Linked DNA regions of Struthio camelus. The protein of the gene in region 1 purifies or fractionates together with the protein of each later gene. This does not show direct contact. Links are inferred from orthologs where the notes say so. Each region holds a gene or a part of one and is shown on either strand. Other genes may lie near its edges.

The links.
Region 2: the proteins of POP1 (region 1) and RPP25 purify together in Homo sapiens (affinity purification with mass spectrometry; 3 studies listed by BioGRID and IntAct, counting the BioPlex papers as one, with this or other methods). This does not show direct contact. The link is inferred for Struthio camelus from reciprocal best matches to the Homo sapiens genes POP1 and RPP25.

What each region holds. Positions count from the first base shown.
Region 1 is NC_090943.1:147,514,465-147,522,156, reverse strand, and holds the start of POP1 (ribonucleases P/MRP protein subunit POP1), read left to right. Parts: upstream 1-4,466; 5' UTR 4,467-4,690; coding exon 4,691-4,811; intron 4,812-7,595; coding exon 7,596-7,692. Other genes in the region: RIDA (2-iminobutanoate/2-iminopropanoate deaminase), read right to left, coding at 131-185, 753-858, 4,207-4,271. UniProt on the Homo sapiens protein: Component of ribonuclease P, a ribonucleoprotein complex that generates mature tRNA molecules by cleaving their 5'-ends. Also a component of the MRP ribonuclease complex, which cleaves pre-rRNA sequences.
Region 2 is NC_090953.1:23,324,740-23,331,705, reverse strand, and holds RPP25 (ribonuclease P protein subunit p25), read right to left. Parts: upstream 2,767-6,966; 5' UTR 2,409-2,766; coding exon 1,758-2,408; 3' UTR 745-1,757; downstream 1-744. UniProt on the Homo sapiens protein: Component of ribonuclease P, a ribonucleoprotein complex that generates mature tRNA molecules by cleaving their 5'-ends. Also a component of the MRP ribonuclease complex, which cleaves pre-rRNA sequences.

The DNA.
Region 1 (7,692 bases):
TGTCTCCTCCAGCTTTTGCTAAATGAGCAGTTGTTATCAAACAGCTTTAAAGGTCACCTTTTTTTTTTTTTTTTTTTAAATAATCCAGGTAAAAACATTACTTGCCTGCCAGCACCACAGCAGCACTTACCATTGCAGTAGTCACAGCCTGCAGCTTTCAGGATTTCTCCCATGTTTTTTAGGGCCTATCAAGAAATGAGAAAAATCTTTTAAGTACAGCTTGGCTGTATTTAGATAAGTGGGTGTTGCAACGTGACTACATCCATGGTTATAGTTAAGAGTTTAGTTAAGAGTTTACCCAGGTAATCTTCAACAGTCATCAGTGGGCAAGCAAAACCATAGATGAAAAAGTAAAATAATAAAAAGGAACTTCTTATAAACCCCCAGTATTGAACTGCCCACTCAAAAGATACAAATGTAAGATGCAGCCCTATCTCATACTATTACTCCACGCACCCTCTTTGCTCCTGAGGAAATAAATCCTCTTCCCTCAACCGAAAGCCAGGTTTCTTACTGGGGTCCAGTTCTTTGTTCATTGACTCTCTCCTGTATGAAATACAGATTCCTGCCTTGGCCTCCAAGCTGTTCGGGTGACGAATGACAGGGATGGGATAGAATTTTTCCTCCTGGTTTTCCCTCATTTTGGAGAATGTGGAAGGTTGTTCCCTAAGGCTCTCCCATTCCTCATGGGTTCACCTTTAACTGAGCACATGCCAACTCCACAGCAAGCATATTGCTAGAAGACATCTTACCTGTTTAGCTTCCTCCTTTGCCCCTCCGGAGACAAGCTGCCCACTGGAAGGTTCTATACCTATCTGTCCTGCAATATACATGGTCCTATCTACCAGTACTGCTTGGCTGGGAGGAAAAAAAAAAAAAAAAAAAAAAAAAAAAAAAAGGACAAGACATTTTGAGAGCTCATTCAGAAATATTTTTCCCCAGTCAAAACATTTAGCTATTTAGCTACCCATCTCTGCAAGTAGTCTCCTGTATGGACACTTTGCATTCTCTTCAGTAATTTATAGCATCTCAAGATACAGGACTTAGGTTATACATGAACAAGTTGAACAGTCATATACTCACTCTGCTTATGCTTTGGAAGCGCTAGGATTGAGCCACCTATGGAAGCATACATCCACATTAGCATGGCTTTATGTATGCAATAATAGGCCTTGTCTCAAAAAGGTGCAAGGCACTAGCACAGCAACGCAACACTAACATAGATGCATAGCTTCCAGACTAGAGCTAATCCAGAGGGGAGGCAGAATAATTAAAATGTTTCTTGCATCTGCCCAAATAACACTGGTTCTCTGGCAGTATTTCTCCAGAGTCATGAATTTGGACAGTCAGAAAAGCACCCTGATCACTCCATTCCCAGCACAATCAGTCTCCTCTGAACAAATAACCTGGGTGTCCTGTTGGCAGAGTTAGTTCAGACGATTGCAAAATTCAAACTATCTGAAAAACACTTTATATAAAGTGTCAGGTCCATTTCTGCTGAAGTAGAGTTGGCCATTGGTAAAGTCTCTTAATTATCACAAAGAGATTAAAAGATTAAAACCAAGATTCAAACCACCTAGCAAACATTATGCAATAGACATAATTTACTCCTCTTCAGCTGGTAATTAAAAATAATTTGCAAGAAAACTAGAGAAAGGCTCCTTTCGAAAGGTTTGCGGTGGGGCAACATAATTTTTCTTATCTCTTCCCACCCCAGAAAAAAAGTTATTGTTCTGATAGTTCAACAAGCCTCTTACATTATACAGGCTAGAATCAGATACCTACGTGACGCATCTCAATTAGAAGGTTAGTTTCCCTATAAAGTCAATAGACGAAGAAAGGGACTCCTTCAGAGAGCACTTCTAACAGATTTCTTCTCTAGATTGCTCTCTCCGTTGACTTCACAGGGAGCCTGACCTAATTTAGGTGCTCAGTAAAATGATTAAGGTTAGGCAATCTAAACAGTGTCATCACTCCCATCTTTCCTTTTACCTCTGTCCCGCATTCTCCTACAATTTCATAAGGGGGAAAAAGAAAGAGCTAGTAACTTATCTGATGTAGTGAAATACTTTATGTGATGATTACTCTCTCTGACATTAGGAGCTTACCAAGCAGGAGTACATGATAAAACTACACAATGTAAAGAAGAGAAACTGGCAAAAGAAAGTTTTTCTACTTGATGCAATCTTGTTGATAGAGAACGTGCATACAAACACAACATAGACTCTGCTTTTATTTTGTTTTCTTTCCCAGAACATCCTGCTTTGTCTGAGGCACATGCCTGTTAGACCACAAACTTCTGCTTCAGTTTGATGCCAGGTTCTCCATGCAGTAGCAAGATAGCAGCTCTCCAAAACAGAGGTTGTCTTGCACTGCTTATTATACAGGAAACAACACGATGAAGCATTTAGCACAACAGAGGTCTTTGGACAGTCCTAAATCATGAATAATTAGGAAAAAAATGCAGAAGCTTTCTGAAAACACTGTCAGATGAGCACTTACAGTAATCCCATTCTCTGCTCCTCACCTCCTCCTATGCTTATCAGTAGCATCCCCTGAAGATGTATCCTATAACTAGGGGCAATCGTAGCTACTCTTTAATCTCTGATACAGCAAAGATTTAAGAACGTGTCTAAAGCCATTCAGATTTCAGTTTACCGAAGTGCATAACTAGATGGATATTATGACCTTAGGAAAACATCATGCATCAGAGAGGTGGAGCTAAGAAACATGCTCAAAAGTTAATCAGATTATTTTTTAAACAGAAAGGATTGTTAATACATGAACAACTTCTCTGCTGTATACATGTTTTTATACAAATATATATCAGATTACTGGAAATTAAATGAGGTAACAGAAATACAAAGACATGGTAAAAATAGGTCACCACAAAGCACGCTGAAGGGCTGGAGCAGAATGAAGAATGTCACCCATACATCCCAACTCTTCATTGATATTTAAGCCCTCATTCCTCTGTTACCATGCTCAGATTCCACGGTAGAAACATAGCAGTGATTTCTTGTGCAACTTTTGCTCACTGGACTTTGAGAAGTTTACTGGAATCAGATACATTAAGTTAATGAAAGACCTGTGAAAACAGTTACAGGCTGCACAACAAGCAGCATTTCATTAAAAACCACCAACAAGCAAAAAAAGTCAGAACGCAGTTAATCTACAACAGAAGGGGAGGGCTATGGTGAAGGATAGGCCAGTTATTATGTACGCAGTGGAAGAATTCTTGCTGTCCCACGTTTTAGATGTTCCTCTAACCACAATAAATGCCAAATCCCTCACTGCAATCCACCAACAATTCTGTTTACAGAACAGTAACGGTAGTTTCCTTCACGTAACAATGCTGTTTCTGCTTCTAGATGTTGTATTTCTCTATCTGTATAGTTTCCACAAAAAAAAAAAAAGAAGTTCAAAGTTCAGAAAGTGCAATTTCAAAGTACTTGAGGCAAAAAAAAGAAAGCATCTGGAAGGCACAAAAGTAGAAAACTTAAAATCTAACGAGACTGCATTTACAATGAGGAAGGAGTCAGAATGCAGCATTAAAAGTTCTTAGAAAATGCTGTTAAGAAAATCTCTCAGTGCCTTCAAAGTAATAGTGCACAATATTTACTGACCACTTATCCAAGTATCAAAGAGGAAATTTTCTCCAATTAAAATTGGCATTTTTTTAAATTACGTTCTGAACGGTTGCAGCTGACAGGTTCTTTGAGAAAACACCTAACAACATCCTGTTTATTTTTGCACCCACCAGCTTTGACGCTGAAAAGCATTACAAGGCCTTGCTGCACACACTAAGTAGGAGAAGACTCGCAGTTCCCAGTCCGTCAGCTCCCTTACCGCCAAGCACGCCCTCGAGCGGATTTAACGCTCACCCCCCAACCCCTCCGGAGCGCAGACTCACTGCTGACCTGCCTATAAAACACCTGCCTTCTGAGCACTTTTTGGTTTCTTTTTTCGTGAGGAATCAATTCTTTTTCCCACACGCTGCCTGTCACCGATTTCAAAATCACGTCCAAATCCTTCCGGCAGACGCTTACAAACCTCGCTTACAACGGCTGGGATCCACTCCCGGGGAAGGCCCCCGGCCTCCGCACGCCGCGGGGCAGCCCGACCCACCCCCCGCCACCTGCTAGACACCCTAACGGTAAAACCTGCTCCCTCTCTCTCCTGCTTCTCCCCCTCGCTGCGGTATACCTGTAGGGACCCATCGCAGCGGGCGCTTTAGCCGTGCTGATTATCCTCCTCATCACGGCAGCCATGTCATCAGCCAACTGGCCCCTCACACCTTCTCCCCGACGCCCCGAGCACCGCGACCTCCCTCCCTCCCTCCTAATCCGCGAGGGCCAACCCGCAGCGCCGCCGCGCGCATGCGCCCCGCTCGCAGGGTGTTCTGGGACATGTAGTCCTGCTGAAGCCACCGGCACCGTCGCGCGCATGCGCCCCGCCCGCAAGGCGTTGTGGGAGATGTAGTCCTGCTGAGGCCGCCGGCGCCGCGCGCATGCGCGCTGCTGGGGCTGGCGCGGCCGCGTGCGGCGGGTGCGGGCTGCTGAGGGGATCGGCCGGGCGCTGCACCGCCCAGTGACTCCCGCCCGCCTCTCTCGGTCCCGCAGGGACCGGCAGCCCCCGCCGGGCGCCTCGGGCCTGTCGAAGGGAGCGGGACAGGACAGCGCGGCCAGAGATGTCCGGGGCGAGGGAGAAGAAGCGGGCCAAGAAGATGAGAAACCAGCCGGCCAGCGTGACGCTGCCCGCCGAGCCCGGGCCCTTCGCGGCCGGCGGCAGCAGGGCCTGCCCGCCGCCAGGTACGGCTGTCCGCGGCGCGTGGGTACGGGCCGCGGCTGCCCCGGCACGGGAGGTGCCCCCCCCCGCCGCGTCGGTTCCCTGCCCCCCCGCCGCGTCGTCCGCCTACGGGCACCCGGCGCGTGCGCCGTTATCCGGAGGGGGAGGGGCCGCGGCCCCGCCCCGCGCCGCCCCGCCCCGCCCCCGCGCGGCGCTGCCACCCTGCGCTTCGCCCTCTTTCGGCGGCTCCTTCAGCCGCGGTTGTGCAGCGCGGCTCTTAACACGCGTTTTTCCTGTGTCCTCCCTCCGGTTGCGTTACCAATCCCCACCCTCCCCCTGCGGCTTAAAGCCAGTTTTGGTGATACAAGTGACCTCCCTTCTCTCCCTGTCAGATCGAGGAGCCGCCGAAGGACCTGGTTTAGCTTGCTGGTCCTATAGTAAACGCGCTATTTGTCTGCCAGCTCAGCACGTCTAACCCACTTTCCTTATGGCCCTTGTGGTCTCTGTATCCGTGAAAAGGTAGTGGCAAGAGGCAGCAAGACGTCTCCCTAAAAGGGCAGTCCGGCTAGGTCATTGCTAGAACATTTAACTTTTAGCATCTGAAGGCTGAAGGATCCGGTCAAGCTGAATGCCGGAAGATGCAGTCTGTGTGTTCCAGCCGGTGCCCTGTACCATATGCCTCAATCAGACTTCTATTTTTTTCTCATTTCACATTTTGATATTTTAGCTATTTTGTTTTAGGGGGAGGGGGGAAACAAGTGCAAGAGCAGGAATTTTTACTCTGAGGACTTCAAATGTTGACAAATTGTGTCTTTCTGGTTTAATAAAAAATGGGTAAGTGTCACTGCAGCCTCTTTCTCTGTATATTTAGGTGACTGAAGCGTTTGTAAGCAGACAGAATGACATTGCAAATAACAGTCAGCCCTATTTGAAGATTTGGGGATATCTTTATAGGAGTACTATCAGATTAAGCGCAGTTTTCTGACTTTGTGAGGAACTGACTGACCTTTGTAAAGACTACATGGTTAGAATTTTCTTTCCCTTTGAATAGCGTGCACTTTCGCCCAGCTAGCGTTCTTCTCTAGTGTTAGTGAGTATCTTAGTATCTTAGGGTGTTTTTTGTAAAAATGAGGAAAACAGAATTCTAAATAGGAGTTAGAAACCATGGACCTGTGTAGTACCTGAAATAATGTAGTTCTTCTTCTGATAGTAACATAAATCAGTCATTGTCTTTGGAAACACTCTTCCATTTTGATCTTAAGATATGTTTTCCTTCATTTTTAGGCTAACTTACTTGGCAAAGGTTGTGTGTGTTATATCACTGTTATATGTTGCTGTCAAGTTACTTTCCCACAGTTGACTAGACTGTAGTTCCACACAAATTTGTTTACTGAAGCGGCCTCTGTCCCTCTCTCCTGGCTGTTTCCTTCCCGCCTCACCTAATTGTGTGCATGGTGCTTGCTCAGCTGTTAGTGCAGCCATGTGGAGAACATAGATCAGGGAATCATTCTACGTAAAAATTAATTTTTATTTTCCCCCAAATTAATTTTTCGTTTGAAGTGCTGCATTGCTACATGATATGTGGCTGAGAGGGGACTGGTTAAGCCAACAGAAATGGTATTGCTGCTGAAGATAAAATTTCAGCTTCGTGCTTACTTAAAACTGAAGAGTGAGGTTCTGTGCCATTTTAAATTCATTTAAATTGAGGGTGAATCTGCTCCTGGCTGTGTCTCTGTCCTTCTTTCCTCATATCCTCAGTGGAAGCATTTGTGGGATAATGTGATGAGCTTGTTTAAAAAAACAGTCAATCTGAAAACTGTTTTTTGTTTGTTTGTTTTGTTTTTTTAACTCCTCTCCCCCGACGCAGGTTAATTTTCAGTAGAGCAGCCCCTGAACTGTATTGCCACATGTTACCTCTAGCACTAGTCTTGATGCAGTGAGTGGGATGGTGGCAATGGCTGGCTGGGCCCTCTTCAGTCCATGTGCGTTAACCTGAGCTGCCTGAGAACCGTATCTCAAGTTGTGCCTGAAATCCTAACCAGGACTTTACTGAAAGAGTTGAATATAAGCTAATCTTTAAATATGGACTTCAATGCCCTTTTAAACTTCCTTTTCCTGCTGTTAGGTTCTTTTCACTCCTGAAAATTTATCTACTTATTTCTGTAACTTAGGAAGCTAACTTTAGACTTTTGTTATTTAACGTTCAATATTGATTTAAATGCCGATATCAGGGAAGTGTGTACTGTAATTTACTGCACCAGCTTACATGTATCATGCTTACATTGTTTATTGCTATAACAAAAATGTGTTTATGCAAGTCTTATTTGAGACTTAGAAGATACTAGAAAAGAACACCTGTGCTCGTGGAAAACAATTTAAGGAGCAAGAGGAAGAATTACCAACTTTGCTGGTGTGATACTAAAACCCTGACTAGACCATAGCAGGAGCCACTGCTGAAGACAGTTGCATAGGCTGACTTAAGTCAGGGCTTTCCTATTAGGCCTAGTGCAGTCCTGGAGGCCAAGTCTGGATTGAGTACCAGTTTCAGAATGTGCGAAAGGAATTTAATCTACACTTGGTGCATAATAATGCAAAATTTTTATTTCTTACGATGAATAAAAACCTAATTCTGTGTGCCTAAGACATGATTTCTAATATCTTTTTCAGGTACATATGTTAAATATTTGCAAATCATACTAAAAGGAATATGTAATGCAGTCTCATTAGGAAAGACCTTAGAATTATCAGCTATTCAGACTACTTTGACTGTATTTTTTGCTACCTCTGTTTACATCTAAACCCTCCAGGAGATGTTCGTTCTGAGGATCTGCCACAGTATCAACAGCAGAAATTTTCACATCAGTCATCTGGGACTTCTTACAGGAAAGACCAGTATTTTCCAAA
Region 2 (6,966 bases), on another chromosome or scaffold:
AGTCGGCGCTGCTGCGGGGTACGAACGCGAAGAGCGAGCCGCCAAGCTGTGCCGGCCCCCGCTCCTTGCGGAGACAGCAGCGGTCCTCGCCCAAGGCGCAAAGTATCGCCAGCCCCAACGCCGTGCCGCTGCCGGCCCCCCAAAATCCCGAGTCCTGTGCAAGAGGATCGCTGCGGCAGGGCTTCCTCGGCGTGATTTCGCGCACGAGTCCCGGAGCCCCGGGAACTTTTTTCTGCATCAAAACAAAGAGACTTAAAACGCCAAAAAGAGCAGAGGAGCTCTGCACAGTTACAGCCCCGCGGCCCCTGCCGTCCCTGTCCCCAAAACCACATCTTTTGGCATCTTCCGAGCAGAGATCTGGGAGGGGAGGGAGGCTGGACTCGTATTCCCCCGAGAAGTGAAGACTGGATTTTTAACGGAGCAGGACACTGACCCTGAAAACCAACTCCCAAGCTAGGGGAAGCTTCCCCGTCTCGTGACTTCCCCCCCGCTCCCCCGGCTTTGTCCCTGCCTGGGAAAACAAAACGAAACAAAAGGCTTAAAAAGCAAATAAAACAACAACAACTGGGAATTAATATTCAATTACACGGCGGCAGATAAGTGAAAGGAATCAATCTGTGGCAGGGCAGATAAGCACAGGCCTCGGGCCGGAGGAGCAGCTGTCTGCTCGGGGAGATAACAAGGTCATGGCGAAACAAAACGCCCGAAACAAAACGCCCGGCTTCCTCCTCCTCCTCCTCCTCCTCCTCCTCCTCCTCCTCCTCCTCCTGCTCCTGCTCCTCGCCTTCGCCTGGCGCAGCCCTGAGCCGAGCGGAGCCGGGTGCCTTCGCGAACAGCCCTCCGGGAGATAAAACGCCCGGGGCGGCGCGGACCCGCTCGAGGCGCTTCGGAGCAGAGGGCAGAATAAAAACGACGACCGAAAACCACGCGAGCCCGGACCGAGCCGAGGCGGCTGCTCGTTTGCGAGCCGTACTCGGGACGAATCCCAGAGCCGCGAGGCGCTGAGCCCGGCTTTAATAAACCTGGCAGCTCGTCTCCGGGCGTAACTGAAGCCGTTCGGATAACGAAGGCGTTGCTCCAAGGGGCTCTGAGCGAAGCCATCGCGCCTGACGTCGGAGACATCTCAGCGCGCATCAACGACACGCGGGCGCCGGACCCGCGGGAGCACCTCTCCGAAAGGCGAAGGCTGCTCCCGCTCCTGCGGCGGGGCCGGCGCCGTCCCGGAGAGCTGGCGAGAGCCCTGCCCGGGCTCCGCGTTCCCCGCCGGCAGCCTGCAAATCGGCCCCGTCCCCTGGCATGCCGGGGAGCTCAGCGCTGAGACCCGAGCAACTCGTTGCTCGTGTGGTCAGCACAAGGCCACCCTAACCGGTTCCCACCCCTCCCTCCCCGTCGCTTTCCTCTGCGCGGGGGGCCGGGGTGCCGTCCCGCCGGGCAGGGGGAAACACCCGAGGTGCTGGAGACAGAGGGTGGTGGCGGGGAGAACAAATTTGGGACCGGAGGGTTGTCCCGCGCCCCGACCCGCCGCGGCCCCCCCCGTTCCGGCCGGCGGTGGTGCAACGGAGAGCCGGCGGGGCAGAGGGGCTGCGGCGGCCCGCGGCACCCGCCGCCGGCCGGGACCAGCACCCGCCGCCGGCCCCAGCCTGCTCCCGCGCCCCGCGGAGGGTCCAAGACGCGGGCGCTGGCTGCTCTTCCCCCCGGCCCCGGCGGCAGCCCCCGCGGGGCGAGCACCCTCGCCGGGCCGAGGGGCGCCAGGGGAGTCAGTGGTGGTGGCCCGCCTGGAGGTCCACGGTGCCGGCGCCCCGGGGGCCGTCGGGGACCTCTACCTGCACCTTCTTGCTCGCCAGCTCCTCGCGGGGAGGCGCCGGGGGTCTCTTCAGCCCCTTGGCGGACGAGCTGGGCGCCTCTGCCCCGGCCTGGCTCTCCTCCGCCCGCGGCCCCGCGCCGGGCTCCGGGGGCTGGTAGCCCGTCTGGGTGGGATCCAGGGGGTCCCGGGAGAGCAGGATGCAGATGGAGGGCACGTTCTTGTGGACGGTGAGGTTCTGCGCCGGGCTGCCGGGCAGCGGGTCCTTGTTCTCCCACACCTCCAGCAGGGTTTTGTAGCGTACCTTGGTGACCTGGTGAAGGCCTCCCAGCTTCCTCTTCATGATCTCCACGCAGGTGATGGTCTTGGTGACCGCCCTGCCGCAGCCGCTGAAGACGATCTGCCGGCTGCCCTTCAGCTCCATCTGGGCCATGGCGAAGCCCATCAGGTTCCTGATCTTGCTGCCCTCCTTCACTTTCATCTCCACCACGCCGGGCGGCAGGTCGGGGAAGGGCAAGGGGCTCTCCTCCTCCGACGTCCTGACCTTTCGGAAGTTCTCCATCCTGGACTGGGCGACGGGCTTGGCTCCCCCTCCTCCGGCAGCCATCCCTCGCCGGCGGGGAGCGCGGATCCGAGGGGGCACCTAGCCCCCGGCCACCACGACGCGGGTCCCTCCGCCGCCCGCCCGGAGGAGGTCGAGTTTGACGCGGCACCCCCGGGACCACCAGCCCCTACCGCTGTCCTTGGCTGGCTGCGGAGGAGCTAGCAGCTGGCGCGGCGGCGGTGCCGGAGGCTGTCCTGCGGGGAGCCGGAGCTGCTGGGTGCCCGGGGTGTCCCCTGCGTCCTCGCGGCGGCGCTGGGCGATGCCTGGGCTCCTGCGCTCCCGCTGCAGCGCTCGCTTCTGCTGCTCTTTGCTTCATTCTGGACTTCAGCAGCCCCCAGAGCCGTTGTGTGTAATTAGCAGATCCTCCCCCTCTCCCTCCCCTTCCTCCCCTCCTCCTCCTCCTCCTCCCCCCCCCCCTCGCTCAGCCTCCCAGCCCCGCGCCCGGCGGAGGCTCCCCAGCGCCCAGGGCCGGCGAGCGGGCGACGGCGGGGAGCCCGGCGAGCCCCGGCGAAGGCGGAAGGCAGAGCCCAGCGCTCGCCCTCGGCTTCCCAGCGCCGCCCGAGTCCTGCCCCTTAAAGCGAACCTGGTCGCTTCGCCCCCCCCGCGCCGGCCGTCTCGGCGCTGGCTGCGACGGGGCGGCGTGGATAACGCAGGGACGGGGCGCTGGGCAGCCTTCGGGATCGGCCCGCGGCCGCCTGCCAGGCAAAGCCGCCCTGGGGGCGCCCAGGGAGCGACGAGCCCCCAAAACGTGCCTGCCCGGCGCAGAGCTGAGCCTGAACCGCTCCCCGGGAAGAGGCCGTGTCCCTGGCCGAGGCTGGCCCTTTGGCTGCCCTTGCCACCTCCCGGCGTGCCTGTCCCCTCCTCTCCCCCCGGCGGATCATCGCACACTGGAAAGACATCCCGCGTATTGACTTGCACTCAAATCTTATCGGCCTCTGGAGGCCCCTGGATTGTTTTCACCCTGGCAGGGCTTGAAAAATACGTAAATAAATCACTCGACCTGATGCCAACGTAGGTGAAACCTGCGGGACGGCAGGCCGTGGCCGGTCCCCTTCCCGGCCAGGACGTCTCTGCGGGCCCCAAACAACCTGCCTAACCCAGGGGTCCAAGCGCTGGGGCTTCGGGACACCGCAGGGACCCACGTTCGGGGCGGGCGCAGAGCCTAGCGGCGAGGTCTGCAGGGAGAAGGCTGCTGCACCCAAAGAGGCCGGAGACTGGATCCCTTTGGCGCAGACAGGGGAAACCGAGGCAGGGAAGGTGACGCCGTTGGCCCAAGCTCACACCCGGCGTCGGGGGCGGATGGAGGCTTGGAGCGCCCGCTAAGTCCCGCCCGGCGCTCTGCGGCAGTGAGCCTGCCTAGGCGCTACGTTTCCAACGCGAACCGCTCGCTCGCACCGGGAAACACAATGTTGTTTTTTTCCCCTTACATGTGATGAATATTTGTGACATCCTTGCATAAGCCGCTCGGCTCCGTTCTCCGGCAGGCTGCCATGGATTAAGCCTCTCATGGAAACTGCTGCCTTTAAGAGATGCATCTTCAGGCTAAAAGACTAGGAAAATAAATGGGCAGGATTTTGGCAACCATTCACAGAGCATCTCGGCTCAGAGCGAAGGACCGGCAAAGCAGCTCTCGTTAACTTTACACATAAACTTTATAGGCATGGAAATTAAAAAAATCTCCATAAGCGATGAAATAGCTCCAGAAACACATTGCTCCGGCACAAAAGCCACGCGTCTTGCGGGAGTCCGGCGCGCTGGGCTGCTCGAGGCGGACGCAGAGCTCGGGCGCGGATGCAGCGCGCCTCGGAGGCTGGAACGCAGCCGGGGCTGGGGCTTGCAGCAGGATGAGTCCCTGGCGCTGAGCCAGCCCACCCAAGGCTCCCTGGGCCGGGACCAACTCCTGCCGCCGGCGGTCCGCGTTTTGGGCGCAGCGTGGTGCCGGGACGCGCCACGCCGGTCGGATGCTGCATCCCGGGCAGCTTCACCCCCCCCCAATTGCTGCTTAACAAACTCGGCTCGTTTGCAGCCTCCGAGACGAGGTGCGATCACGCTAAAGCGTTTCCGCATCGCGAGCAGGGGTTCGGAGGGCGCGCTCCCCCCGCGGCGGGGGGGCAGCAGCGGCAGGGTCTTGCTGTTCCTCGGCAGCGCTTAAAATGCAAATGCATTTCATTATTAGCAGCTCCGCCGCTAATTACCATCTGAAGCCATTCATTACCCTGTCAGCTTGTTTGTTGGAGGACAGCAGAGCGGAGGGGTTATTCCGAGCTGCAATGAGCTCATGCATAAAGAGCAGCGGAGCGGGAGAGGGGAGCAGAGCGGGGCTGCGGGGGGGACACGCCGGGGCAGGAGAGAGCGGGGAGTCGATTAAAATGCGGAAGAGGCAGATGGTAAAAGCGGGGATGGAGAAGCGAGGAGCGAAGCAACTACGCCCCGCGTGCTGCCTGCCTGCCTGCCTGTCTGTCTGTCTTCCCTGAGCATCCGCCGCTGTCGGGGCGGGCGCGAGGCCAGCGGCCGAGGCTGCGGGAGCCGGCGGCGCTTCGGGGGCACGGAGGGAAGGCGAGCGCGAGCGGGTGCAGAGCTAGACGTGACGGTGGCTCAGGCCGAGACCGGCGGGGGGGGAAATGGAAACAAATTCATAACGGAGAGTAGGGAGGCAGAGAGGAGCGTGCCGTAACCCGAGCCCCTGTCCTCCGCCTGCCCTCTCTATATTTTCTTTCATGCGAGGTGCGGGAGTCGTTCGGAAAGTCGAAGCATCCGATACAAGGAAAGTCGCCGTCCATCTCTGCGTCACATCGCCCCGGCTCAGGTCTCAGGCGGTCATCACGTTGCACGCGGCGGCCGAGCCGCCTGCCCTGAGCCTAGCCGGGGCCTGGGAGCGCAGAGCCCCGTCCTTCCGTCCGCGCTCCCGCAGGCGGCGGCGGCGCGGCCAAGGATCCTGCTCGTCCCCGAATCGCTAGCAATAGCGGCGAGCAACGCTGGCTTGCTGCGCGGCGGCTTTCTCCCGCCTGCTCCTTCAGCGCGGCGCTTGCCCCAGGTAACCCACCGAAATGACCCCAAATCCCAGCCCGTGCTACCCGGCAAAGGAAACGTGTATCAGGTTGCCCCTTTGGGTTATGCAGCTGCTATGGGCTTTGGCCCAGGACTAGGAGACCTGCAGCTGGGGTCACCACAGCGTTCAACCACGGTCTAAGAAATACAAGGAGGAACGGCCCTCCAACACGTCTGCCGAGAGGACGCGGGGCCCGGGGCGCCTCCCTGTGCTGCCGAGGGGCTGTGCACCCCTGGGGGTCCGTGCGTGGAAACCACATGCAAGGCAAACAGGGCCGGGATCAACAGAGTGAGCCTACAAGTCAGCAAATCTGGTGTCCATCACAGGGCCTAGTGGAGGTCAGTCCTTCTGTGCTGGAGAGAAAGCCCTCAGTGATGGCACCCTCCCCATGGGGCTGGGCAGGAGCCGGGCTTCCTGGCATAGGGACAAGAGCAGCTTAAGAGGGACCTGTCAGGGCCCTGAGGGCACTAAAATTTCTTAATGGCCCTGACCAGCATCACCTGGGGCCTCCACCTGCCCACCCTCAGTGCCCATTTAAGTTCAGTCTATGGCCATCAACTCTATTGTAGGGGTGTTGCTCCTCAGCCTGGCCACAGCTGTGCCTGGCTGGGGATGCGGCTGGTCCAGACCCCAAGCTGTGGGCTGACTTCCTAGGCTGGCCTTTGGCTCTGCCTCCTCAGCCTGAGCTTGCTGCTGGTCTGGACTCCTGGGTTTGCCCTGCTTGGGCCTGTGGGGTTGGGCCAGGCCCTGGCTGGTGGAGCCCCTGCCCTGCTGGTTGTGTGTTTGCTGGCCCTTGCTTGTGCCCTGGCAGAGCTGGCACTAGCCTTCCCTGGGGACCCCAGTGGAAATGACCCTTTCTTGGACACCTCAAATTACAGGCAAGTATCCAAAAGGGAGAGACCTTGGGTTTGAGCTCCCATGTGTGGGAGCAATGGGGGCCAGCAGAGTGACTCCAGCTCCAGGCTGGAAGAAGGAGCAAGCCAGCCTGACTGGGCAGAGCACCCAAAGGGAGCAGCAAAGGCCCAGCAGTCCTCTGGATCCCATGGGCCACCCCACAGTGGCTGTGGATGTGACCAGCCCCTTTGAGAAGCCCTCCCTGAGAAGGAAGAGCTTCCCATTTGCTCTGGAAGGGAAGCCCTGGAGGATTGCAAACTGTAAAGAGAGAAGCAGGCAGAGGTTGGGAAAGGAATGGAAATGCTAGTGGGTATGTGTAAAATGTACATGGAGGAAATATGCCTAGGAGGGCCTCTTGAGGCCAGCTGCTTGTCCACCCTGCCCCCTTCCTCCTGTGGAAGGTGCTGGTCACCCTGATTCCCCTGGGTGGATGTCTCCTAAGAGGACTTTTATTTCTAAAGCAAATATCCCAGCCTAAATGCCCTCTCCCACCATCAACACCGCCCAACCCTGGTCTATCCAAAAAGAAACTGGTCCTCCAGGTACGTGCTGCCTGTGACAAGGCTCTTCTGCCCCTGGAGAAGGTCACTTTGCTCCTGTGTAGCTCTCACTCAACCT